Linked DNA regions of Oryctolagus cuniculus. The protein of the gene in region 5 interacts with the protein of the main gene of each other region in a pairwise test. Links are inferred from orthologs where the notes say so. Each region holds a gene or a part of one and is shown on either strand. Other genes may lie near its edges.

Region 1 (3,158 bases), on a different chromosome or scaffold from region 5:
AGGGGCGTGTGGAATGTGCCCTACATAGCCCAGGCCTACGTGATCCGCGGGGAGACCCTGCGGACCGAGCTGCCCCAGAGAGAGGTGTTCTCGAGCAGCGACACCGACCCGGACATGGCCTTCTGTAAGAGCCTGCGTGACCAGGTGAGGGCTGGCGGGCGGGTGCCGGGGGCCGGCCGCCCGCTGCCGTGGCCAGCGCCCTTCTCACGCGTGCTCGCCGCCCCGCCCCCACCCAGGGCATCTTCCTGCACCTCAGCAACCGGCATGAGTTTGGCCGCCTCCTGGCCACGTCCCGCTACGACACGGACCACCTGCACCCCGACCTGTGGCAGATCTTCGACAACCCTGTGGTGAGTGGGGGCCGGCAGCCGAGGAGGCGGCGGGGGCTGCCTGGGCCGCATCTCAGGGTCCCCCCCATCCTCTGTGTCACCCCATCCTGCCCCCCCAGGACTGGAAGGAGCAGTACATCCACGAGAACTATAGCAGGGCCCTGGAAGGGGACGGGATGGTGGAGCAGGTGAGTCCTGTGGCAGCAGTCGAGCCGACGGGGCTCCAGCCCGCGCGACCTCCTCTGTGTCCGGGGCGTAGCGATCGGTTTATGGGTGAAACTAGGATGTCAAAAAGAGGTGCCTGTTGTGGAGGGGTGGGAACCTGGGGCTCCCGGACCCGCAGGCCGCCCTGCTCTGCCCCAGCCTCTCCTCCCTCTCCCCCTCTGCCTTTGCTCTGTGAGCACCCACCCCAGCGCTGCTCCTCCTTTCCCCGCCCCACCCCAGCCGTGCCCGGATGTCTACTGGTTCCCGCTGCTGTCAGAGCAGATGTGTGACGAGCTGGTGGAAGAGATGGAGCACTACGGCCAGTGGTCAGGAGGCCGGCATGAGGTGAGGGTCCAGGCCTCCCGGGAGGAGGGGACGCTGAGACCGGGGGCGATGGAATGGATGGGGGGGACACACGGGGAAGTGAGCCCCAGGCAGTACGCCTGCATCGAGGAAACGTCACTGGGCCGTTGGCCAGGACGTGCAGGTGCAGCGAGGCGCCAGGCAGGGCAGGCTCTGCCCTCCTGTCCCGAGCAGCAGCTGCCCAGCTTCCAGAGGCTGGGACGGGCAGCCCTTGTCCCTGCCTGGGGGGACAGGAGGGCTTCATGGGAGCTGTGAAATCAGGAAGTAGGGAAGGAGTGCTCCAGGCACGGAGAGCAAGCGTGTGAAGACTTGGGAGCATGGGGGAGGGGGCCTGGCCCGGGCGGGGCGCGGAGGGGCCCCGGCTCAGCGTCCACTGCCCCCAGGATTCAAGGCTGGCCGGAGGCTACGAGAATGTGCCCACCGTGGACATCCACATGAAGCAGGTGGGCTACGAGGACCAGTGGCTGCAGCTGCTGAGGACCTACGTGGGCCCCATGACCGAGAGCCTGTTTCCGGGCTACCACACCAAGGTAGGCCGCTGCGGCTGCCCTCACCGCCCCTGCCACCGCCACCTCTGCCCCAGCCTGCCAGTGGCCACCCAGAGCCCCATCAGCTCCCGTGTCTAAGGTTCTGTGGAATCCAGGTCCCAGGAATGAGACGGGGAGCGGGGACAGGGACCGGGCCAGAAGTAGGCAGGCCGAGACCCGGGGTGCATCGTGGCTTAGCCGCGGCGCCAGTTAGCAGTGAGACCTTGGGGGTCTCGAGGTGTGTGTGTGTGTGGGGGGGTGCTGTGCTCTCCCCAGCAGCCCCTCCCCCCATCCTCTGCTCTCTGCACCTGCAGGCCCGGGCGGTGATGAACTTCGTGGTTCGCTATCGGCCGGACGAGCAGCCCTCTCTGCGGCCACATCACGACTCCTCCACCTTCACCCTCAACGTGGCCCTTAACCACAAGGGCCTGGACTATGAGGTGAGCCCCTCCCCCGTCAGCACACACCCACGTGCATGCCCTGGGGCGGGGGGACCCTTACCCAGGGCTCCTGCCACCTCCCCACCCCGTGCCTTCCTCCCACGTGCACGCCCGGGACAGGGGGACCCTTACCCAGGGCTCCTGCCACCCCCACCCCGTGCCTTCCTCCCCATGTGCATGCCCTATGCCCTGGTGGGGGGGACCCTTACCTGGAGCTCCTGCCACCCCCACCCCGTGCCTTCCTGCCCCCTTCCCGCAGATGCCCCCCCCCCCCCGTGTGGCACCACCCCCACAGCTCAGGTGTGTGCTCAGCCCCCTCGCCTGCTCCTTTCTCACTCCCCCCACCAGGGTGGCGGCTGCCGCTTCCTGCGCTACGACTGCGTGATCTCGGCCCCGCGGAAGGGCTGGGGGCTCCTGCACCCCGGCCGCCTCACCCACTACCACGAGGGGCTGCCCACCACTCGGGGCACCCGCTATATCATGGTGTCCTTTGTCGACCCCTGACACGCAACCACTGTGCCAAACCTTCACTGCCATGGTGCCTTCTCAGGGGAGCCCCAGCCGCAGCCCCAGCCGCCGGAAAGGGGCGGCCGCCGGTCTCCCCGCGTCCTGAATGTGTGCTGAGCGTGCCTGGGACTGATCGTGTCGTGCACCTCCCCCGCCCCCACCCTGCCCAGACACAGCCCCCTCCCTAGAGCCCGCAAGGGCTCCTGGGGAAAGGGTCTCCTGGGGGTGCCCTGGGTGATAAATTATTGAGACTGTTCCCTCCCACTAAAGGAGGATTTGTAACTCTGAGTCCGTGGGTTGTCTGTCATCCCCCCTTGTCTGGTCCTGTTCCTGCCCGCCACCCTGTCCCCTGCCCAGCACTGCGGGCAGAGCGCGGGAAAGGCTGTACCTGCCGGTTCAGGTGGAGGCCCCAGCCCCACGCAGGCCCCTGACCTCCCCAAGGATGGGTGCAGGAGCCAAGGACGGCACTGGCACAGGAGCTGCCCCCTGGACACGCACGTGCTCTGGACCTAAACTTGAACCTGGGCATGACCAGGGAACGGGATTCCCTGCAGGGTCATCATTGGAGAGCTTCCTGGCAGAGGGGGCTGTGAGAGGAGGAGAGACCTGAGAGCAGGGCTCCTTCCAGCCTCTGGGAGACCCCCAAGCCCTTGCGGCTCCCTGGGGGCTGCCCCTGGATCTCCTCTCTGTTCCCTGCTAGAGGCCTTGACGCCACCTGGCCCAGGGCGTTTTGTTGGTTCCGGACCCTTCCCCCTCCCCAGCTGGAGCCCCCTGGCAGGAGGGCGGTG
Region 2 (4,009 bases), on a different chromosome or scaffold from region 5:
GAGTGGGCACTGGCCAGCAGGGGCTGCCCGAGGCCTGGGCCTGGCCCCAGGAGGCTCTCTGAGCATTGAACACAACCCATGTGCTCGGAAGTAGGGTCGGGGCGCCTCGCGGCCGAGACACCCGCACCAACCTCGTCGCCTCTGACCCTCCCCACAGGGCCACTGCTGCCCCGGGCAGCTGAGGGAAACCGAGGCACAGGGAGGTGAGCGGCAGGGCCCCGCCGCGTGCCCAGTTGCAGAGCAGCAGGCCCACCCCCCACCGCCCCAGCCTCACCGCCGGCTCTCACTGGCCAGGTACTCGGCGAACATGCGCACGGCTTGGAGCTCGGGGGCCGATGAGGGCTTGATCTCATCCAGGACCACGCCGAACTTCCGCTGCGGGCGGGACAGACACGGGTCAGCGGCCCCCGGACAGGGCGGCCCTGCACCCCCACCCCGGGGCCACATGTCCCGGGGTCGTAGCCATGTGCGCCCTCCCCTGCTGCCCACACCGTGCACTGCTAGCTGGAGGCCCTGGGGGTCACTATCCCTGCCCAGCCGTCCACCCCCGGTGGGGAGGCGACAGGTGGAGGTGGGCGTGTCCCCGGGGGAGGCAGGGAGGGGCCGGGTCTTGTACAAGGCGCACCCCACCCAGCCCCAGGCCGGCGGTCCCTTCTGAGGGGCCGTCCGTCTCTGACCTCCCTTCCTTCCTTCCTTCCTAGACGGCTTCTTTTTTAAGCATAATTTTAAAATATTTTTAGGAGCTGGAACAGTGGCATAGCTGGCTAAGCCTCTGCCTGCAGTACCAGCAAACCATATGGGCGCCGGTTCGAGACCCAGCTGCTCCACTTCCCATCCAGCTCTCTGCTGTGGCCTGGGAAAGCAGTGGAGGATGGCCCAAGTGCTTGTGCCCCTGCACCTGCGTGGGAGACCCGGATGGAGCTCCTGGCTCCTGGCTTTGGATCGGCACAGCTCCGGCCATTGCGGCCATCTGGGGAGTGACCCAGCAGACGGAAGACCTCCCTCTCTCTCTCTCTCTCTCTCTCCCTGCCCCCCCGTAACTGTGTCTCTCAAATAAAAATCTTTTTAAAAAGTTTTTGAACATGATTCTAAAAAGTCTTACACATTCTTTTGAGACACAGAGAACAAGGAAGGCCCCGTCCACTGGTTCGTCCCCCCCCCCCCCCCCGTGCCGGCCACGGTCCCCAGCCGGGAGCCGGGAGCCCCACCCGGGTCTCCCACGCGGTGGCGGCAGCAGGGACCCCATCACTCAGCCGTCAGCGCTGCCCCCGGAGTCGGGAGCAGGGCTGCGACACCTGGGGCCGGGACATGGACACAGGCGCGCTCACGCGGGCCCAGGACACACTCGTGTACGTGCGTGAACACGCTGCGCCCCTCCTGCGGGCGGTCCAGGCGTCCCCCGCCGCGGACGCGAACCCTGCGGGACCCGGGTGCCCAGGCCCCGGAAGGCGGAGCCGGGGAGCCACTCGGGCCGGATGCTGGGCGGGTCCCGGCGCCGGGGCGGCAGCAGGCGGGTGCAGGGGCGGGCGGCAGCAGGCGCGTGCACGGGCCACGTGCCCCACCTGCTGCGTTTCCCCGCGGCAGCCGTGACCGCTCCGGCCTGACCCCGGGCCCCGGGCCGGCACTGTTTCTCGCTCTCCTATGCCCAGCTGGCCTTCGTCCTGGGCCACACTCACCTGGGCCAGGTACGCTCGGTACAGGAAGACGTCTCTCTCCACGTCTCGCTCTGGGCTGGACAGCTGTGGGGACGAGGGCGGGTCAGCACGCACAGCCACACCACAGCCCCCGGCCCCCCAGGAGGGTCAGGGCTGAGCCCGGCCCTGGCTCCAGCTCCCGGAGGCCCCAGAGAGCCTCTGCGGGGGTGAGGGGTGTGGAAGGGGCCAGACCTGGGGTGACCCCAATGCCCGCTCGGCGATGGCACACACGGGGGGCTTCAGGGGCCTGGCGCTGTGGCTGAGCCGCCCCTGGTGACTGTGACGCCCGTGCCCCGCGCTGGGTACAGCCCCGGCTGCGCGGACTCCGAGCCAGCTCCCTGGGAAGGCAGTGGACGATGGCCCAAGCCCCTGGGCCCCTGCCGCCCACGTGGGAGACCCCGATGGAGCTTCCGGCTCCTGGCTGTGGCCTGGCCATCGCGGCCATCTGGGGAGTGAAAAAGCCGACAGCTCTCTCTTTCTCGCTCGCTTCCAAGTGGATGGAGACCAATAAACGGGGCCCGAGCACAAGTCCCAGGCCACAGCAGGGAGCCGGATCGGACCCGCGCTCCCGTGGGATGTCCCGCGGCGCCTCAACTCCACGCCCAAAACGTAAAATCATCGAAAAAAAAAATTAGAAGAAAGCAGACCCTGGAAGCAACAGCCCCTCTCGGCCCCCGGCGCCCTGCTGGGTGCACCTGCCGCGCCGGGCTGCCTCCTGACCGGTGCCCGCCTGTCCGGCTCGCCCGGCCCTCCAGGCGCGCCGCGAGCGCCCCCCAGCGTGAGCGGGCGACACCACAGCTGTCACGGCTCTGACTGCGGGCCCGCGCGCTCGGACGACGCGCGTGGACACAGGACGTCGAGGAGGCGAGGAGAAAACGCAAAGTTCCGAGGGCAAAGAGGGCGCAGCCCGCGGCCGGCCCCGCGCCCCCGCACCTTCACCCGCTGCGCCTCGTTGATGCACTGCTGGTAGCTGCCGATGTAGAAGGCGTTCTTCACGTCGAACAGCTCGTCCACCTCCCCGGAGCCGCCGGGGGACGGGCCGGGAGCCGGGGGCGCCATGTCGCGGTCCTCTCACCCGCTCTTCTTCCGGGAAGACACGTCGGCCGGAAGTAGGGCCCGCTGCGGAGCACGCTGGGAAATGTAGTTTCCACGTCCCGAGCCAATGGGAGAGCCCTATGGAGAACGCACTCCTGCGTCTCGCAGAGCATTTCGGGAGTTGTAGTTTGACTCTTTTTCCGTGAGCAAACGGGATCCGGGGACGTGGAGGAGGTTGTGTTCGAGGCTGGGAACCGAAGGGCGCTTCGCGACGTCATCGGAGCGCGCCGGAAGCGCGACTTACCTCGGCCCCCGTGGCCGCCTGCGAGGATGGCTGGCTTTTCGGAGCTCGGGCTGTCATCGTGGCTCGTGGAACAGTGTCGGCAGCTGGGTTTGAAGCAGCCCACGCCCGTGCAGCTCGGCTGCATCCCCGCCATCCTGGAGGGTGAGTGCGGCTTCCCCCGGAGGCGGCCCCAGATGCGCCTCGCTGCCTCTGCGCAGCCAGGCAGGTGCCAGGGGGCTGGGGGCCAGCCTTGGTCGGTACTGGCGAGCCCGGGTCGGTGCCGGCACCTAGGCCGCACGCATGACTGACTCGCTTTGGAATCGGAGCGCGGGGCGGGCGCGATCGATGGCGTGGGCCCGGCAGCACTGGCATTGTCGCCTTCGACAGAGGGGCACTGAGGCTGTCCGAATCCCGGGGCCACCTCGGGCTGCGCCCCCGCGAGCGCGCCTCTGACCCGGCCCAGCTGTGCCGTTCCGCAGGGGCGCGCAGGTTGAGGGAGTGGCTACATCGGGTATCCAGGGGCTGGAATTGGGGCAGGTCGGGGTGGGGGAAGATTCTGGATTCCCGAAGCTCAGCCCAGGTGCCAGTCCAAGCCGCTGCTTCCCGGAAAACTGCCCTTCTGTTGAACGGGTCCGAGCATCCCCTGCCTTCTAGGTTTGTCGGTTCCCCGCCGCGGGAATGGAAAAGGCAGGGGAGGGGCCGCCCGGTCCTCTTAGCTGTGGGCGGCGCCCCACCCTCCCACCGCCCTGACGCCGCCTCGCCCTCTCCCAGGTCGGGACTGCTTGGGCTGCGCCAAGACGGGCAGCGGCAAGACGGCGGCCTTTGTCCTGCCCGTGTTGCAAAAGTTGTCCGAGGACCCCTATGGCATCTTCTGCCTGGTCCTGACGCCCACCAGGTGAGCCTGCCCCCGGGACGTCCACCCAGCTCTCCCGTGTGGGTGCAGGGGCCCAAGCACCCCGGGCCCACCTCCCGCTGCTTTGCCGGACTGGAAGTGGGG
Region 3 (3,999 bases), about 4.1 Mb from region 5:
CATGCAGGACAGAGATCGGGGGTTCTGCAAGGCAATTTTGTGAGGACAGGAGGGGAGGTCAATGGAAGGTCATTTGATGGTGGTGGAATCCATAGAGCATGGTTTGGAGACAGAGCAAGTGACAGTTGGAATTGATTTGAGGTGCGAGTGACGCCCACATTGAGGGTAGCTGGTAATATTTGGAGTGGTGTTATGGACTCTTGCAGAGCCAGTAGGGGATTCATAGTGTATGGTTGGAGGGTACATGGAGAGTGGTTTGGGATCAATGGACAGTGTTTTGGGTGCACATTGGAGGCATTTGGAGGATGATTTGGAAGTGCTGTTTGAAGGCTAATGGCTTCAGGGCTAACTGCAGACGGTTTGAGGAACAATTTGGGAGTAATGGAAGGTAGTGTTTTGGTGCGGTTTGGAAGTCCATGGAGGATGGATTGGAGGTACTACTTAGGATCAATGGGCAGTAATTTGAAGACATAATTTGGGGGATAATGAAAGATAGCTTACTGCGTCCACTGATAGACCTTGAACAATTTGCTGTTGTTCTTTTGGTTTGCACCAGGATGTGAAAGAAAAATCCCTGCACTTTCTCTTTGTGACAGCCTACATTGAATTGGGGAATACATTTAAAGAAAAAAGAAAGAATGAACGAAAGATAGTTTGAAGATTGAAATTCAGAGATAAATGGAGAGTGATTTGGAGATTGTGGGAACACAGTTGGGGGTGCACCAGGAGATTCTATAGGTGATCTGGGTGTAATTTTGATAGTCATGGAGGGTCATTTAAGGGATAAAGGCTTGGCGTCAATACAGTGTGATTTAGGCACAGCTTGAAGGTCAATGGGAGGTGGTTTATTGGTGCAGCTTGGATGTCCATGGAAGATAAATCAGAGGTCCTGCTTCGGATCAGTGGACAGTACTTTGAGGGTGATGGAGAGTGGTTTGGGGTGCATTTGGGGATGGCGACAAGGAAAGCTGGGAGAGTTTAGAGGTGTGGTGATGGCTTATAGAGAGCAGCATGGGGTACAGCTTGTACCGCCTAGGGGTCCGTGCAGAGTGACTTATGGGGGGGTGCCTATCTGCTCGCCGAGGGGGCGTGGCCATGGCAGGGCTGGGGGAGGACTCCGCCGCCCTAAAGAAAGTCTGTGCGCACGCGCTCCCAGCCTGTTCACTCCTGGCGCTCCCAGGGCAGGAAAATCGAAGAGCCGACCTGGCGCCTGCGCACTTCGTCCTCGCCGCTGCTGTGGTCTCGCGCCCCGCCCCCCGCACCCCCCACCCCGAAGCTCGCGTTCAGCGGCGGCGGTGGTCGTGCCGCCGGGAGCGGGCGGACCCGAGTGCAGGGTGGGGGGCGGGGGCCCAGCGCCGGCGGCTTGGCCGGCGCTCCTCTCCCACCCCCCGGGTGCCCCCCGTCTGGCCCCACGGTAACGGTCGCGCGGCTGAACGCGGCCCACGGGCAGGGCGCGGAACAGGAGAAGGCGCGCGCCCGGGGACGAGCAGGGCGCAGCGAGGGACGGGCGCGCCCACTACCCCTGCCGGCCTGCACCGACCCCGCCTACGCCTCTGGGTGAGGACCTTCGGTGAGTAAGACCCCCGCACACACTTGGGGAGCAAGGGAGGGGACTGGGTGGGCTGAGGGCCCGGAAACGCTGGTGAGGATATACCTGCGCTGGCATTCACGACCTCTGACCCCGTGGCCTCACCCCTGACCCCCTCTGACCTGACTACATGTTATTGAGATCTCGAACCCCAGCCAGCTTTGGCCTCAGGACCTGTGGTCCAACCCCTAACCTAACCACATTCTGGGGTGGTGGGATCTTCATCCTCTGTTTTGTCCCCCTAAATCCAGTCAGGACCCCAAACCCCATCCAGTTCTGTCCTTAGCATCCTTGACTTGATCTCTGATTCTTGATTGAGCCCGTCTCAGCTTTGAGGCTCATCTTGTTATGTCCTGGTGCTTGACCTTAACTCTTACCCAGTCTCTGAACCTCCGCCCCTCTTGTTTCCTTAACCCCAATCTGATCCAGTTTTGTCCTGATTCCTAACCTGACGTAGGTACTTTCACCCTGCCCTGTACTGTGCCCCTGGTCCCTCTCCTTACTCCAGTCTCCATCCCAGCTTACCACCTGTATATGTCCCTCTCTGTCTCCTGCTCTGGCCCCAATCCTGTCCTATTTTTCCCCCTTTTCTTGTCCCATCACCATTCTCATTCCAGTCCTCACTCTCTCCTGGTCTTTTCCTGTTCCTGACCTCTATCCCTAACCTGCCCTTTTTCCTGTTCCCTCCCTTGACAACTGGCTTCTGTTCTGTAGGGATGCTGTCCCCCGCCCTGCTGTTTTGTTGTACTTTGCCTCTAACCCTGTCTTGAATCTTAGCCATCCCATCCCCTGAGCAGTGTTCTGGCTCACTTCCTGTCCTGCCTCTTGACCTCCATCCCAAGATGTTTCTGTCTTGTCCTCTGTACTCCTTCCCTTCCTGTCGCTTTATCCCATCCCAACCCTAGACCCCTCTTCCACACTCTGTCAGATCTCCCTCTCCCTTTCCTAATACCTACTTCCCATCCCCTCTGAGTTCAGGGCAGGGGTCCCATTATTCCCTGCCCATAAACTTGAAGGTTCTACGGGTCTTAAGACCTCTGAAGTACATCACAAGTGCTTTCCTTAGCGTGAAGAAGCAGCCTTGTGAGTCTTGTGTAGCTGATAGGATTTTTGTATGGGATTTCCCACACCTGCACCCCAGTGATCTCACATAGACCTTGCATTTCTCGCCCTGCCCTAGGAGGGCCTGGAACTGTTCATCAGCCCCCTGCCCTCCCCGGGTGTGAAAGAACACCTTCAATTATTCATTGATTCTCTAGAAGTTGGAGAGTCTGAGAGGTCTGCGTCATGTTTCCAGCTGTGTTTTGTTGGGGGGCTGCCTCACGTTGGGAGGAAGGGTTTACAAAATATGCAGGACTGAGGGCCCTAGGGGTTTGTCTGAATCTTCTAGATCATGTTACCTCCATCCCTGACCTTGATCCTGGGTGTGGGATCCCTTACTTTCCTCCCCTAAAAAAAAAAATCTATTCTAGGCCAGAGGCTTCAGGACTTGGTAGGGGTTTATTCCCCTTTTCTTGGAAGTGAGCAATAAACATCTTGGTGCTAAGTTCACCTCATCTCTGGGAGGCTGGTCTGGGGAGGTGGGAGACAGGCAAGCATTGGATTGAGAGAGTGAGGTCTATCCAGCAGTAGCAATGACAACAATACCATGAGCTTCCTTCGCCTTCTCTCTTCAGTCTCCTTGATTCTGAGGATGGATGAGGAGAAGTTAGAGCATAATATGTTACTCAATTATGTCTTGAGCTTACATTTTTTTTTAAGATTTATTTACTTATGAGGCCAACAGTGTGGCGTAGCAGGTAAAGCTGCTGTCTGCAGTGCTGGCATCCCATGTGGGTGCTGGTTCCAGCCCCGGCTGCTCCTCTTCCGATCCGGCTCTCTGCTATGGCCTGGGAAAGCAGTAGAAGATGGCCCGAGTCCTTGGGCCCCTGCACCCACATGGGAGACCTGGAAGAAGCTCCTGGCTCCTGGATTTGTATCAGCGCAGCTCCGGACATTGCAGCCATTTGGGGAGTGAACCAGCGGATGGAAGACCTCTCTACCTCTGCCTCTCTATAGCTCTGCCTTTCAAATAAATAGATAAATCTTAATAAAGATTTGAAAGGCAGAAAGAGAGAGAGAAAGAGTGAGAGAGATATCTTATATCTGCTAGTTTACTTCCTAAATGGCCGCAATGGCCAGGGCTGAGCCAGGCTGAAGCCAGGAGCCAGGAACTTCTTTCAGGTCTCTCATGTGGGTGCAGGGGCCCAAGGACTCGGGCCATCCTCCACTGCTTTCCCAGGCATATCAGGAGGGAGCAGCTGGGACTCGAACCAGCACCCAAATGGGGTGCTGGTGCTGTAGGTGGAGGCTTAACCTGCTGCACCACATCACTGGCCTCAAGCTTACATTTTTCATAGAAGAGTAGTGAG
Region 4 (3,500 bases), on a different chromosome or scaffold from region 5:
TAAGAAATGATTCCTCCAGTATTATTGCTTTTTTAAAAAAAAAAAATTTAATCTGCTTGAAAGGCAGAGTGACAGAAAGAGTGACCACCATCTACTTGGCGGTCACTTCCCAAATGACTGCAACAGCCAGGGCTGGGCTAGGCCAAAGCCTGGAAACAGGAACTTTATCTAGGACTCTCATGTGAGTGGCAGGGGCCCAAGCACTTGGGCTGTCCTCTTTTTTGGCTGCTGTCTCAAGTGCATTAGCAGGAAGCTAAGCCAGAGGCAGAGGAGCTGGCACACAAACTGGCACTCCAGTATAGGATGCGGGCACCTCAAATGGAGGCTTACCCTCATTGTGCCATAATGTTCACCCCTTGCTGATTGTTTTGAGCTGTGGCTGACATCTGACTTGTGTGCTAGCGACTGGTGTTAGGTTAGCAAGCAGTTCAGAACATTCCTATCAGTAATTCTTTTGCCTGGTTTCTATATTAAATCACTGGTAGAAATACTTTTGCAAAGTCTGTCTGGGTTCTCAAAAGTTACCCACTTTCTCTGAGAAATAGAAACATTTGGACAGATTCTTGAAGTTCTCTATAGCAGAATTTAGTGTGTTTTGAATTATTTAGTGGGCTGAATGCCAATGAAAGCGTTGTACTCTCCAGAAATGTTTGCACAGAGCGAATCTTACGTTCGTTTTCTGTATCCTAGGAAATCAAGTGGAAATTCTTCTTCAAGTCTGGGAGAAATGGTATCAGGGACATTTCGAGCAACTCCCACATCGACCGGTGAGGGTCTGTTACATTCCTTTCAATAGGATACATTCCTTCCTTAATATTTGAGTATGCATGCAAGCATTTTTGCTAATTTGGAAATGAGTTAAAGGCTTCCTTTACAAAGGTTCCTTTATTTCAAATTTCATTGCTCATTTCCTTCTTGTGGTAATTTGGTTTGATTTAAAGGTGAATAATAGCACTAGAAATTCAGATCTTTATAATTTTGAAAAATCTTATCTGCTCCCCAGAGGCCATAACTATCCATTGTATGAATTAGTCTGTGACAAGTTCGTTCTTCTACCCAAGAACCCAGCAGATTTTGAGATGATGAGGGCCACTAAGAAAGGGGAAAAACATTGTAGACTCAAGAAAATGCTCTATTTCAGTCTCCATGTGAAACTTTGAAAGTGTTAGTACAATGTGGGTGATGGAGACTTGGTGGGTTGAGGCTGGGAATGAGGTGGGGCTCAAGTGAGGTGATTTCTATTTTGACAGCAGACATCCCTGCCCTGGAATTAACAGTAATGAGGAGATGGTAGTATCTTCAGAAAATATGGACATATTCATGCAGGGATTTTCTTCCTCCACCTTCCCTGACCTCTCTGTAGGCTAATTTCATTCTTGCTCATAGTTGATGCTGCATTAGGGTAGCCCTCATATTAGCAATTCAGAATAGCAAGTCCAAAGGTCTCTGTGTATTGAAATTGGTTTTAGAACAGTTGTGAGGATCTGGATCCTTATTCATATGAATTTCTCCTGAACTCTAACACTCTGAGCCAATCTAGCTCCCTGGGTTGCTTCCTCCAACCCCCAATAAACTGAGCGTGCTCAGATAGCCACAAAAGCACTTTCATCAGACACTGAGTATATTTTGCTTTACTCCCATTGTAGGACATTGCAGCTTATTATTACTATAAACTGGAAAGAACAGAAGTAACTGATTATAAATTTATTTGAAATATAAAAGCAACATAGTAAGAAAACATGTGTCCATTTCCTAGAAAATGGGCAAAAGCAACAAAAAAAGAATGCCTATTTATCATAGGGTCACCAAAGTTACACACCCCAAAATAGTCATTTTAGCCCACTTGTTACTATGCTGCTTTTTATCAATTTTTATCTGTTCAACTTGTTCCCAGCCACACTGGGTGCTATGTTCTGCATGGAAAGAAGCCCATGGTTAACGGCTGGCCCAGAACCTCCAATGTCATTGTGAACTACTTTCCATCACCCCCTCCCCATGTGAAATCGGGACGTATGTTCATGTGTGCTTCAAAATCAGCACATCCAGAATGAAATAATAGAGACAGTGTCTGCAGAGTGGGTGATGGGGAAGTCAGCAAGATAATTACAGGGACAAATACATGCCTGCATCCATCTTTTAAGGTCATGTACTGTCACTTTCAGAGATGACATATTTTGATATGGCTCTCATTGTTGTCTTTTAGCAAAACAGAAGCAAAAAGTGGTAAGTTGTGTTTCCTTTTTAAATCTGTTAAGGTTTTATATATACGTGCCTGCGGTGCTCCATTTCAGTGACCCCAGTGGCTATGACATAAGGGATGCGCCTGCTTGGGGAACCCATGGTCATCACTGTCATTCACAGGGCGTTGGGAGTGTTGTGGCTGTGGAGGAGGGATGCTCAGCCTCAGCTTGTCCATGTGTTGAATCCTCTTTTTCAGACGGAGCACATTCCTCCTTATGATGTTGTGCCGTCGATGCGTCCTGTGGTGTTAGTGGGGCCGTCACTGAAAGGTTATGAGGTACAAATATCATCTGTTTCCCGTCAGTTCTTGGTTGAGAATCTTGGAGACAGGCACGGGGGTGCTTGCTGTTCCAGGGTCTGGTCACATTTAGGTACTGGTGGAAGCCAGCTCTCAGTATGGGAAGGTGGGTGGGACAATGTGGAGTTATGTGACCCTGTGCCCTTTCTTTCCTTCTCATCTTTTATGCATTACACTGTTTAGAAATATCTCCCCCAAATCATCGATACTGGAAAATTCTGATCAAATATTTGCTCACCATTAAATTCAAAGAAGAGGACTTTTCTCAACCATTCCTGTTATTATTAGAAATAATAGAATATGAACAGCACAAGGGAACATAGAAGCAATCTTCTTGCAAACCTAGACCCTCACAGCACCAACAGATCTCATCCTAATGGGTGCCCAAAACAATGGCAAATGTGTCTGCTTATTTATTTTACAGGGCATTTAGATACAAAACCACCAAAAACGTTGGTGAATTTTGGAGAATTAAATAATATCATGTAGCAAGGAAAAGAGTAAAGACTTAGATGTATGATGTTTCAGATGTTGCCATTTTGACCTTGCGCTAGTGTGATTAAAACAGGTGGACACTAAATCCGAAGTGGGCAGCCTCCAGGACACAGTTCCCACTGAGCTAATAAGCACTCAGTACACTTTGTTGAATGAATTAACAAATCTCCTTGGGGGCAGATCTAAGTATATTCTCTCCCTCCCCCCTGTCTTTCTCTCTCTCTCGCTCTCTCTCTCTTTCTCTGAGTTGGAAATATCAGAGAGAAGAGCAGAAGAGTAGTGTACAAAAGTCCAGCCCTGGGCATAGAGGACTCAGGAAAAGGTCAGATGATCTCAGCACTGGCTGTGGGGTTTCTAGGTGTTCCTCACTGGAGGCCAACACAACTCAGGTGCACCAAGGATGGCCAGCACCTGTGCACAAAGCCAGCCTGCAGTCTCCTGGTGGCAGTCCCCTCCCCTAATGTGG
Region 5 (3,500 bases):
CCTGTAGTATGGGAGGGGTTGGGGAGGTGGGGAAGATGGGGAAGATGGGGCCTCATTAAGGACTTGAAGGATGCTTGGAGTGTAGGCCAGCCCACGAGGGTTGTGATGCTGTGGGAAGAGGACTGTGTGTCTTCCCCTGGATGGGAGAGAAGAACCACACATTGCATGTCTCCTGCATGTGCCCCTGGATGGTATCAGCTTTGTATTTCGAGGCTGTGGCCCATACTTTGTTTCGATTTTGTCTTCCAGTATGGCCCACCTGGAGTCTATCAACCAGGCCAGATCACAGATCGAACAGTTCTCAACGTGTATGATAGATTGTCAGAGATAGGTAGCGTGTTGGACAACCGAGGTGCTAGCTACATGTTGGATAAGTACCAGGTGAGGAACCTTATGTTTGATTAGTGTTTCCCATGGGACTTCCCTGGACCCTGAACCATGGGGGCAAGTTACATATTCTTCCCTTGTGATATTGTAAATGAAATGAATGGCTGTACCAATAGATGCATTGCGGCCGGCGCCGCGTCTCACTAGGCTAATCCTCCACCTTGCGGCGCCGGCACACCAGGTTCTAGTCCTGGGCGGGGCACCAGATTCTGTCCCGGTTGCCCCTCTTCCAGGCCAGCTCTCTGCTGTGGCCAGGGAGTGCAGTGGAGGATGGCCCAAGTGCTTGGGCCCTGCACCCCATGGGAGACCAGGATAAGTACCTGGCTCCTGCCATCGGATCAGCGCGGTGCGCCAACCGCAGTGGCCATTGGAGGGTGAACCAACAGCAAAGGAAGACCTTTCTCTCTGTCTCTCTCTCTCACTGTCCACTCTGCCTGTCCAAAAAAAAAAAAAAAAAAAAAAAAAAAGATGCATTGCACTGCCATTTATCAACAATAGCCAGGCTTTAGTTTATATGTAAATATGTGCATTGTGTTGGTTTTTGCAGGCACTGTGGTGCTAAAATAATGCTTTAAAATATTAATATTCACTCGATTTCAAAAATTTAGTTATAAATGACATCATTGAATTTTTACGAAGTTTTCTTTGTATATAGTTCTTTGGAGATCCATGGTGCCAATGCTGTATTCCTTTGTTTTTATTAGATGGGAAAATCAGACCAAGAGTTTTACAAAGATTCTGACCTGTCTGTAGGAGCTTCCATCAATGTGTGGGGAAGGAAAGTGCTGCTTTGTGACTGTGATGAATTTACGAAGCTTTATTATAAAACTAAATATGGAATTGGTAAGTGATGCGTATGGCTGTTGGAAAACACTTTAAAATCCACAATTTTTGTTCCCTAGTTAAGATTTTACTTTTGATTTTCAGTTTCCAAGCTGATGATAGTTACCGTTTATTGTATATTTGCTATCTTCCAGGCATTTGTTGTCTTATATATTCCTAACAACAAGCCTTTATAGGTAGGCTCATTATACCCATTTTAGGGCTCATTTGTCCAATCATATGGTGAGCAAAGGATAAGTTAAGATTTGAATTTGTGTGCTTTGACGCCAGGGACTTCTGTTTTCCCTTTGTGCCCACTGCCTCGCTATGATAGATGCATTGGTTAAACAATTGAAATGGAAATCCAAATGCTCTGCTCTTTGCTTAATTCTTGCTTACCATGATGAACATACTTACTCATTTTCTCTAGGAAATTATTTTGTACCAGTTTGCTCTACTTTTCCTGGTGAGGTTCAGCCAGGTTTCCAGCTTCTCATTTCTTAGGTGTTAGTTCCATTCTAATCAGGTTACTTAAGGTCAGCATAAAAACCAGCTGTTTATTAAGCACTTAATATAATAAATAGGTCACTGTAAGTAGATTTAGGAGATAATGTTGCATGAGAGGTTTCTAGGCTGGAAGGTGAGCTGAGACCTGCTGTACTATTATGTAGGAGTCTTAGAAGTGGGATTGACGCTGTGGCATAGTGGGTAAAGCCACAGCCTACAGCACCTGCGTGCTGTATAAGCACCAGTTCCATTCCTGCCGCTCCACTTCCATTCCAGCTCCTTGCTGATGCACCTGAGAAAGCATCATAAGATGGCCTCTGGACCCACATGGCAGACCCAGAAGAAGCTCCTGGCTTTGGCCTGGCCCAGCCAGGTCGTTGTGGCCATTGGGGAAGTGATTCTTCCCCTATACTTTATTTTTAAAAAAGATTTATTTATTTATTTGAAAGACAGAGTTACAGAAAGAGAGGAGATGTAGAAAGATCTTCTACCCACTGGTCCACTTCCCAAATGACCGCAACAGCCAGAGCTGGGCCAATCCAAAGCCAGGAGCTAGGAGCTTTTTCCAGGTTTTCCATGTGGGTACAGAGACCCAAGGACATGGACCATCTTCAGCTGCTTTTCCAGGCACATTAGCAGGGAGCTGGATTGGAAGTGGAGCAGCTGCAACTCGAACCCAGTGTCGCAGGCAGCAGTTTTACCCACTACACCTCAGTGCCAGCCTCTTCCACTATACTTTAAATCATCTTTATATTACTTATAGTACCTAATATAATTTGAATGATATAGAAATAGTTATTATACTGTATTGTTTAAAGAATAATTACAAGAAAAAAAATGTCTGTACGTGTTTAGTACAGAGACAACCATCATAGGCCTCTTTTTTGTTGAAATATTTTCATTCATGGATGTGGATCCCATGTATGCAGGGGGACAGTTGTTCTTCTCTGGGAACCTTAGAATATTCAGAACACATTTCCTGGAGGGGTGAGATGGAAGCTAGAAAATGCCTTCGTGAAAGACGAAGTGCTGTGTCTGTAGAATGAAAGGAAGCCTACCTCATATATCTTGGTGTCACCATTGTGTAGCCTTCCTGGCCTTCTGGGAATCCGGATTGTGAGAGAAGGCATACAAAAGAATTGGAATGAAAAAGACTTTGATTTTCACTCTTAGATTCATTAGGGAAATTTGTTCCCCTCGATTTGCATGCCAGATTAGTCACAATGTGTGGGTCCTACAGGGGCCAACTTGGTCCCCTATAGTGGACAGTTGGGTATATTTGCTTTGGAGACTGTGGACTAGAGAAGCCAGGAATGTGCAGGTGGCAGCTGCTGTAAAGAAGCTGCTAGTGGCCCTTAGATCGTTGGGCAGAAGAATTTGCCTTTAATAAATGCAGATGCCTATTTAGAATCAGTAAGGCTTCAGTGTAGATTGAAAACCACATCTTGGATCTGAAGATTACCTTAATAATAAAGGATGTGGTGAAAGATTGACAGATTACCTTAATATGAAGAATATGGTTGAGGTTCCAAAACATATAAGTTCAACATTTGGTTGATCTTTCTCAACTTGATTTTGAGAATCTAAAGTTAGCATTTGAGAAAACGACTGTCATTGTTAGTGTCTTAGGGCTTCTGTAGGGAATTTTCTGAGGCAGTGGAATAATTCCCTTAGCTCACTCCAAATCTAGCTGTCCTGGGTAAATGTGTCCACTTCAAATGCCCTGTGGTTCATTTCTACTTAGTTCTAGTGCTGTTTTTTCTATTTTCTTCTTTTATTCATGC
Region 6 (3,323 bases), on a different chromosome or scaffold from region 5:
TCACCAGCTGTCTGGGCACCTGGTTTGTCCCCCATGGCAGCTCTCAGGAGCCAGGGCAGGACGCACGCTGTGGAGGTGACTTCCCGTTTGGATCAGGGGGAGGGGAGCCATGGGAGAATTGCCTGGGTCCTGAGGAAGTCCCTTGCCCTCATCCCAGGCTCTGCTTGGCCTTTGGAATGAGGAAGGGAAGGGAGAGGGCCCCCAGCAGGCCTCTTATGTGGAAAGGAAGTTGCAACAATAGTTCCAGTTGCATTGGGTCATTTTTCTCCTGCCCTCCGTGTGTGCGTGCGGGTGTGTGTGTGTGTGTGTGTGTGTGTGTGAGAGAGAGTCTGGGGTCAACTAATCAGTTCGGACACCTGTGTGAAAACCACTTGTAAGCGGTAATAAAAGGGAAGTCTGAGTGAAGCCCTTTGGTTCCATGAGGATCTTTAAAGGTCGCAGGTACGCTGGGGCAGGAGTGACCTTAACACGGGAAGTCAGATGACCACTCTGCAAGCAGGTTTTGAGTTTGCTTTCTCCCCTGATTTATTGGGGAGGACTTGCTATTGCTTTTATCAAGTGCTTGCTAGCCACGGATGCCAACTAACTTCCTCGATTGAAGGCCGGAGGATCATGTCTGGTTCCAGGAGCCGCTTGAGCAGGTCCTGGCATTCGGCCGAGATGCCCAGGTGGGTGGGGAAGGACACCCCCTTCTGCTGCTGCCACAGCATCTTGGGGATGTCTGTGTCATCAAAAGGTAGGCTGGCGCAGAGCATGACGTACAGGACCACGCCCATGCTCCACACATCGCCCTTCTTGCTGTCGTGGGGAACGCCCTGCAGTACCTCGGGGGCGGCGTAGGCGGTGCTACCGCAGAAGGTCTGGCTCAGCTCCCGGCGGGACTTGGGCAACACTTTGGCAAAGCCAAAGTCTGTGAGCTTCAGGTTGAAGCCCTGCAGCAAGGCGTTCTCGCACTTGAGGTCCCGGTGGGCCACGCCACATCCATGGCAGTAGCGGATGGCCTCGACCATCTGACGGAAGAGGGCCTTGGCCCGGCTCTCAGGCAGCGGCCCCCCATTCAGCACACAGTCAAAGACATCCCCTCCCTCAGCCAGTTCCATCACCAGGTAGATTTTCCCGTCCGCAGACTCCAGCATCTCGTACACCCGGATGATGTTCTTGTGGTCCAGGGTGCGGACGATCTGGAGCTCCCGCGGCAGGAATCTCTGGATAAACTCTGAAACGAGAGGACAAGAGGTGATGAGCTATCAAGTCAAAGGGCCCAGCGCCTCACTCCTGGACTTCGGGCTGCCCTTCTTAAATGTGGTTCTCGCCCTTGGATGTTGCGAGAACCGAACCGTCACTCCTGTTGCTTTTGTAGCTAACACGTTATGCAGTGGAACTGCCCCCTGCCAGCTTCGGCACTATTGTGAGCAGTCTGGGAGACTGCAGGTAGCAAGATGAGGTGCTTTGGGGACTTTCAGACAAAGTTACTGAATCTGTTACAAGGCCATACTTGCCCAGGGCATGGTGAGCCAGCTCCTCCCGTCCCTGGTCCCTGCCTCCTGCCTCCTGACCCACGGTTCTTTCCCATGAACCCTGCCTGCCTTTTTCCCACCTCCACCTACCTTGGCACCAGCTCCTGCCTTCCGCTAGCCCTGGCTGTGGCCTCTCTGCAAGTCTCTGTTCGTTCCCGGAATAGGAAGAGCCTGGCAAGCTCAGATCTTGCCTCTGAGGACTCCTCTCCTGGTGCCGCTTTATCTTGGACTGTGCAATGCTCTTGGACTCCCAGCTTCCCTCTGTTCCCGCACTGACCCCCCCCCGGGGGGGGGCGGGGGTCCCTAGGGCTTGCATTCCTTGGTTCCAGACTAAAGGCCAGGAGGAAATGACTGCTCTGACTGGGGAAAGTGCCCTCCCACCTCAGCCAGCCCTCCCTTCCTCCAGAGGGCCCCCGGCTCACCTTCTGGCCCTCCCATCTTGTCTATAATTTTAATTGCCACTTTTCTTTGGTGTTTTTTGGAAAATGCTTCTCTGACTTTTGAGTAGGTCCCTTCCCCAATGGTCTTGCCCAGCTGGTACCCATTGGAGAGCAGAAAGTCCTCCATGCTGTCTAGCGCCTCCTTCCTATCACCCACTCAGCGCATGCTGCCTCCGCGAGGCAGCTCTACTGCACCATCGCCCTCGGCCCGCTCCTCTTCCCCCCAAGGACTTCATCCACAGCCGCCCCAGCGCTAGAGCATTCTCCGTCTGCACGCAGCCGCGGGTGGGGGGCAGGAGAGGGTCAGACATTTTAAAACTCCGGCCCAATTGTGATGTAAATATTGTGTGACCCTTGGCCAAAATGGGCAATGGCCCTACCTGCTCGCACCCTCTCTGCCAAACCCAGCGCGGGCTAAGTCCCCGCCGCCGCGGGGCCGGGCCGGGCCGCGAGTCACTGCGTAGCCGCGGAGGGCGCTCCAGGGTGTCGGCGTGGAGCGGGCGTGCCCGGCTCCTCGGCCTCCATCTGGCGGCCAGGGCGTCTGCGCGGCCAGGTCTCCAGGCGCCATGGCGAGAGCCTTCCGACGCCCGGCTCGGGCCCCCGCGAAGTGCTGGGGCGGCAGGGGGTTCCCCGGCGTGGGGAACGGGCTCTGTGAGGTCAGCGCGCCGCGGCCCGGGTCACAATGCCGTTCTCCCCCTCGACACCCGAGCCCGGGCGCGCCGCAGACACCTGCCCGGCTCCGCCTGGACCGGAGCGTCCTCCCGCGGCCAGGGCTCGGGCAGCTGCCTCCAGCCTGGGAGCGGCCTCGGCCTCCGGCAGGTGAGAACGACCCAGGGGCGAGCGCGGGGAGGGGGTCGCCTGGCGGCCCGGGAGCGGCCTGACAGCCACTCCCCGCGCAGAGCGCCCCGGGGCCTGGACATGAGTGCCCAGGAGCCCCCGCAGGGTCGGAGATTCCCCATTGAGGCCGGAGACTCCCCTGGCCTTGCCGCCGTCCCAGAGTCCCAGGACAGCCCGGAGCCAGTAGCTACGGAGCACAACCCGGTCAGGTGAGGCCGGCGCCCCGTCCCGCGGCCCCACCTGTGGCCCACTGCGCGCCCCCAGGCCTCCCCACATCCAGGCCAGAGCCCCAGTGGACCTCCAGGGCACTCCCTGGGTGCACCCCAAGATAGGCCAAGCCCCCGGCTCAGCGGCCCGTTTTCCCCAGGCCGCTTCGACGCTGCCCGGGCTGCCACTGTCTGACGCTGCTGCACGTGCCCATCGACGTCTACCTGGCCATGGGCGGGAGCCCCCGGGCCCGCGCCACCTGAGTGCGCCTGCGCACGGCAGCTCCCCGGGAGCCGGGCGGGGACGAGGCCCTCCGCGGGCC
Region 7 (4,242 bases), on a different chromosome or scaffold from region 5:
TTACCACTGCACGTTTGGCAAGCTGCTGTTACGGACAAGAATGCATCCCGTAAGTCAAAGGGCACGTGCATAGGGATACTCAGTCTTTGGGATTTGTAGCTTCAAGCTGGTCTGTGGGCATGTGACTCAAGTCATCGTTCTGCTGGCTGAGAGGTCGCAATTCAGGGGGATTAGGATTGGATTTAAGTTCATGCCTGTGAATACACACCGAACAATTAGGCCACGGGGCTTGGATCCCACTACAACTTGCTGTAGGCGCAATGTAAATGAAAAGTGACCTTGTGTGTCTCTGCACCTTGTGTGTCTCAGTATTTTCTCGGTCAGCTTTTTGTTCATTCCCTTTTGGGGAATGAATCTATAACTATTATCAATACCATAACATAGCAGTTAAATCCTCTCTCTTCATTACTTGTGTGAATTCGGACAAGTAAACTTTTCTTTTCCAACCGTCTGCAAAGTAACTAAAAAGTTTTAAGTCTCTTCCAACATTAACAACCCAGAACCCTATATTCAAAACTATAAATATTTTCAATTGAGAGTTTTACACTCGCTGCTGTCAACTTCCAGGAAGTATAACCCATTACCTACAAGTGGGATCATTTCTTTTTGTTCTGTCTGTAAAGCTGCAGACCCAACTCGGGATGTAGGGAGAGAGTACCTGCCGTGGGCAAGGCATCTTTCCTTGGGGAATACAGACTTCCCCCAGCTGGAAGGGGGATACAGCCGGCACCCCAAGAACCCGCGAGCTAGGAAATGAGTTTTGAACTGGAAAGGCCGCGGCCACTTGGCACCAGAAAAAACTGGAGGGAGCTGCGGACTTTTGCGTTTGTGTCTAATGTAGACCGACGGTAGTCGAGTCACGAAGTCGTCAGACGGCACTTGTCGCGGGCCCGCCACCTCTGTAACCTGAGGCATACACCTAAGACGCCACCCTGCACCTGACGACCCGGACTCCGCGCAGGGCGAGGGCGCAGGTCCCCAGCCCGATGGGGCAGTGCGTCGGGGGAGCGCGGGCGGCGTGGGCCTCCGTCCCGCGAGGAGGGGGTCCACTCAGCACAGCAGCGCCCACCGAGCAGAGGCGAGGGAGGGGGCCGCTGCAGGCGGGGTCGTCGGCGGGGAGGCCAGCCCCGGGTGGGTGATAAAGGATCCTTCGGGCTTTGTTTAGTAACACGCCAGGCCCTGCTCTCCCGAGAAACCAATTAGATCCCCGCTGCGGGATCATCTGACCTGCGTCCCCCACCCGCAGGGGGCTCGGAAGGGGCGGGGCTAGGCGGGGCCGGGCCGGCGACTCCTCGGGAACGCGGCCGCGGGTGGTGCGGGGGAGTCCCGAGCGCTGGACCCGGACCTGGGCCCGCCCCTCGGCAGAGGCCCCGCCCCACGCAGGCCCCGCCCCCGGGGCTTCCCGGGCGCGCGCCGCCCCGCCGTGTCCGCGCGCCACGCCCCCCTGCTCGCGGGCCGCGTGCGGAGCCGCGCGCCCCGTAGGCTCTGGGACCGTGGCGGCGGGCGGCGGCGGCGGCGGCGGCGGCGGCGGAGCAGCCGTCCGCGGGCCATGTCTTCTCCGGCCGTGGCGAGGGGCTCTCCGGGAGGGAGTCGGGAGACGGCCCTCAGGCCCCGGAGCCGAGGCCGGTTTTGGGAAGTGGGCGGCGGCGGCGGCGGCGGCGGCGGCGGCGACCAGCTGGAGCGCGCGGCCGCGGAGTCGGAGCGCTGGGAGCTGCTGCTCCGCCGCGGCGAGCTGCTGGCGCTTGGCGGCCACCTGAAGGGAGCGCTGGAGGCGTACGCGGCGGCGCTGCGCCGGGGGGCCCCGGTCAGGCCCGAGTGCCTCGGCACCCTGGTGGACTGCCTGGTGTTCAACTACCGGCTCCGCCACGGGCTGGGCTGGAGCGCGGCCCCGGCTGCCGGCGCGGGTGCGGGCGGGCTGCTCAGCTGCCTGGGCTGCCGCGGCTTCCTCAGCGAGCCGGTGACGGTGCCCTGTGGCCATAGCTACTGCCGCCGCTGCCTGCGGAGAGAGCTCCGCGTCCGCTGCCGCCTCTGCCGGGACCGGCTGCCGCCCGCCGCCGTCGCCAGTGCCGCGGGTGCTGAGGGGACCGGCCCGCGGCCGCCGCCTCTGGCCGCCGCCATCGCGGCCTCGGACTTCAGAACCAGCGTCGTCCTCAACCACCTGGCCGAGAAGTGGTTCCCGGGTCAGCGCGAGCGAGCCCGGGCGGCCGGCCGGCTCGGGGAGCTGCTGCTTCAGGGGCGCTACCGGGAGGCCCTGGCCGCCGCCTGCGAGGCGCTGCGAGCAGGTGACGGCGCGGGGATGCGGCGCGGGCCCGACCGACCCCACCCTCCTTTCCCGGGCGGGCCGGGTACCCAGAGCGGGTCTGCGCCCTGGGGCAGGCTCGCCCTGCTTCCCCGGGGGCCGCTGGGCACTCGGCGTGCGGGATCTCGGGGTGCTCGAGGGTGTGGGAGGGGGCGGCGCCCGGGGTGCTTCGGTCACAATGGGGATCGCCCTGGGAGCCCACTGTGACGCGGCGCGGGGAGGGGCGCGCGGGCGCGGGGTTCCCTCGGCCGCGGCCTGGCGCTCGGGCGCGCGCGCGTGCGGCGCGGAGCTGCGGGCCCCCGGGCCGGAGGCCGCCCTGGCGCGGGATGGGTGGGAGCTGGGGGAGCCCGAGCGGCCGCCCGCTTCCTGCCGCGCTCTTTCCGGGAATTGGCGGCTCGGGCCCGGCAGGGCCGGGCCACCCCGGGGGTGGGAGACGACATCGCGGCGGGGCGGGGATCCCCAGCCGAGGTTGGGCGGGCTAGGTCTACCTTCCCGACCCGCAAAAGTCACCGGGGCAATTGGAAGCCGCGGGAGGGCAGAATTGCATAAGCTGGGGTGGAGGGGCGTTGTGTAACGGGTGACGTCCGGTGGGCGTGGCGGGAGCTCGGCGCCCGCACCCAGTGCCGCGAGGCCCCTCCGGCCGCGGTGGTCAGCTCCTACCTGGAAGTGCCCGCGGAGTGGGTGCATCTTGAGGCGTCCACCTGCTCTTCTCAGGTCACGCCGGTTTCATTGTGCTGACTCCGGAATACGCCCAGCCCAGGGCAGGGATGCAGAGGTAGTCTCTAACCCAGAGTTACCGCCTCGCTTCCGTTCGCCTTTCCACTTAAGATCGAGCCCAGGGGGAAAGGCCGTGTAGGGCTTTTGTCTCTTCCTTTGTCTCCAGGACGCACCCTCGGCTTCCCAACTTCAGTTAGCACTTTTCCCAAGGCGGTTTTACATTGTGCCAGACGCGCCTGTAAAACTTCCGTTAGAAAAAATGAAGTTCTTGGATCAGTTCTTTTACTAGGGGGGGGGTTTCACTACCCCCTCCCCAAGGACATTATCCAGGGCAACATATCTGGCAGTGTCTAGGGACATTTTTGGTCCCCACCTCTTGTAGGCGTGATGCTGGTCCCGGCACTGTGGGCACTGTGCGGCTGACCTGCCACCGCCAAGAATGCAGGCCCCAGACGACCATCAGTGGCACTGTGGGCGACACTTGTATGAAGTGGATTGCAAGATTTTCATGTCGCTGTGTTGGCAGGAAATAATGCTTGGGGGAAATAATCCCCAAGGAAATAGACATGAAATATTAAACTGACTTTGGGTGTTAGGTAAGTTTAGACACTGTGGAACTGAAAATACCCTCCTGTGGGTGCTTAGTCATATTGAACCAGTGACAGTGTCTTGAGTTATTTAGAACCTTCAGAGTTCACAGCACAAACTTGCCATGTTTTTGAGGCCTTTTAGTGTGTCTGTGGAGGAGGCAGTTGTAAAATATGGTAATAGTCTCAGAACAAAAGGAAAATAATTGGGTATTAAATTCTGATACACCTGACTGCCTCTTGTGGGCAAATAAGCCAGAATTGGCTGGATAGAACACCTATCACAGACCATGTGAGAAAGCAAGGGCTGGAGCAGTGCAGTGACTTGCCCCAGTCACACAGCTGGCTGCTTGGAGAGGCAGCTGTGTGTCCCTTTCTAAAGTGGGCCTTGTGTTCATCTGGTCTTTATAGGTCATCCACTCAAGTGCTCATGCACATTTCCCAGGAGGGTTTTCTATCACTAGTATAAAATAGAGGATAAAACTCACCAACAGCACTATTCAGTATCTACGCCTGACATGGTGATATGACATTCTTTTAAATTAGGTTCTTTATAAGCTTTGAGGTCCTATTCCTTGGAAGAATAGTGAACACATTACAGATTTAAGTCTAGCTTCATGTTCTGTGACTAATATTTTT

The links.
Region 1: the proteins of EFHC2 (region 5) and PLOD3 interact in binary tests that used the Homo sapiens proteins (3 or more experiments, as listed by UniProt). The link is inferred for Oryctolagus cuniculus from reciprocal best matches to the Homo sapiens genes EFHC2 and PLOD3.
Region 2: the proteins of EFHC2 (region 5) and COPE interact in binary tests that used the Homo sapiens proteins (3 or more experiments, as listed by UniProt). The two-hybrid records come from large-scale screens. The link is inferred for Oryctolagus cuniculus from reciprocal best matches to the Homo sapiens genes EFHC2 and COPE.
Region 3: the proteins of EFHC2 (region 5) and CCDC120 interact in binary tests that used the Homo sapiens proteins (3 or more experiments, as listed by UniProt). The link is inferred for Oryctolagus cuniculus from reciprocal best matches to the Homo sapiens genes EFHC2 and CCDC120.
Region 4: the proteins of EFHC2 (region 5) and CACNB4 interact in binary tests that used the Homo sapiens proteins (3 or more experiments, as listed by UniProt). The two-hybrid records come from large-scale screens. The link is inferred for Oryctolagus cuniculus from reciprocal best matches to the Homo sapiens genes EFHC2 and CACNB4.
Region 6: the proteins of EFHC2 (region 5) and TSSK3 interact in binary tests that used the Homo sapiens proteins (3 or more experiments, as listed by UniProt). The two-hybrid records come from large-scale screens. The link is inferred for Oryctolagus cuniculus from reciprocal best matches to the Homo sapiens genes EFHC2 and TSSK3.
Region 7: the proteins of EFHC2 (region 5) and LONRF1 interact in binary tests that used the Homo sapiens proteins (3 or more experiments, as listed by UniProt). The two-hybrid records come from large-scale screens. The link is inferred for Oryctolagus cuniculus from reciprocal best matches to the Homo sapiens genes EFHC2 and LONRF1.

What each region holds. Positions count from the first base shown.
Region 1 is NC_091450.1:43,400,223-43,403,380, reverse strand, and holds the end of PLOD3 (multifunctional procollagen lysine hydroxylase and glycosyltransferase LH3), read left to right. Parts: intron 1-2; coding exon 3-144; intron 145-236; coding exon 237-350; intron 351-448; coding exon 449-517; intron 518-773; coding exon 774-878; intron 879-1,279; coding exon 1,280-1,426; intron 1,427-1,737; coding exon 1,738-1,863; intron 1,864-2,211; coding exon 2,212-2,367; 3' UTR 2,368-2,658; downstream 2,659-3,158. UniProt on the Homo sapiens protein: Multifunctional enzyme that catalyzes a series of essential post-translational modifications on Lys residues in procollagen. Plays a redundant role in catalyzing the formation of hydroxylysine residues in -Xaa-Lys-Gly- sequences in collagens.
Region 2 is NC_091447.1:65,883,247-65,887,255, forward strand, and holds the start of COPE (coatomer subunit epsilon), read right to left. Parts: upstream 2,801-4,009; 5' UTR 2,754-2,800; coding exon 2,628-2,753; intron 1,740-2,627; coding exon 1,677-1,739; intron 376-1,676; coding exon 275-375; intron 1-274. Other genes in the region: probable ATP-dependent RNA helicase DDX49, read left to right, coding at 3,060-3,174, 3,784-3,907. UniProt on the Homo sapiens protein: The coatomer is a cytosolic protein complex that binds to dilysine motifs and reversibly associates with Golgi non-clathrin-coated vesicles, which further mediate biosynthetic protein transport from the ER, via the Golgi up to the trans Golgi network.
Region 3 is NC_091453.1:34,200,843-34,204,841, forward strand, and holds the start of CCDC120 (coiled-coil domain-containing protein 120), read left to right. Parts: upstream 1-1,199; 5' UTR 1,200-1,570; intron 1,571-3,999. UniProt on the Homo sapiens protein: Centriolar protein required for centriole subdistal appendage assembly and microtubule anchoring in interphase cells. Together with CCDC68, cooperate with subdistal appendage components ODF2, NIN and CEP170 for hierarchical subdistal appendage assembly.
Region 4 is NC_091434.1:90,039,418-90,042,917, forward strand, and holds part of CACNB4 (voltage-dependent L-type calcium channel subunit beta-4), read left to right. Parts: intron 1-690; coding exon 691-767; intron 768-2,203; coding exon 2,204-2,223; intron 2,224-2,437; coding exon 2,438-2,518; intron 2,519-3,500. UniProt on the Homo sapiens protein: The beta subunit of voltage-dependent calcium channels contributes to the function of the calcium channel by increasing peak calcium current, shifting the voltage dependencies of activation and inactivation, modulating G protein inhibition and controlling the alpha-1 subunit membrane targeting.
Region 5 is NC_091453.1:30,116,092-30,119,591, reverse strand, and holds part of EFHC2 (EF-hand domain-containing family member C2), read left to right. Parts: intron 1-249; coding exon 250-381; intron 382-1,091; coding exon 1,092-1,230; intron 1,231-3,500. UniProt on the Homo sapiens protein: Microtubule inner protein (MIP) part of the dynein-decorated doublet microtubules (DMTs) in cilia axoneme, which is required for motile cilia beating.
Region 6 is NC_091438.1:140,117,617-140,120,939, forward strand, and holds TSSK3 (testis-specific serine/threonine-protein kinase 3), read right to left. Parts: upstream 1,918-3,323; 5' UTR 1,834-1,917; coding exon 1,608-1,833; intron 1,217-1,607; coding exon 555-1,216; 3' UTR 501-554; downstream 1-500. Other genes in the region: protein FAM229A, read left to right, coding at 2,640-2,776, 2,857-3,003, 3,162-3,264. UniProt on the Homo sapiens protein: Serine/threonine protein kinase required for spermatid development and male fertility.
Region 7 is NC_091433.1:77,989,200-77,993,441, forward strand, and holds the start of LONRF1 (LON peptidase N-terminal domain and RING finger protein 1), read left to right. Parts: upstream 1-1,442; 5' UTR 1,443-1,549; coding exon 1,550-2,282; intron 2,283-4,242.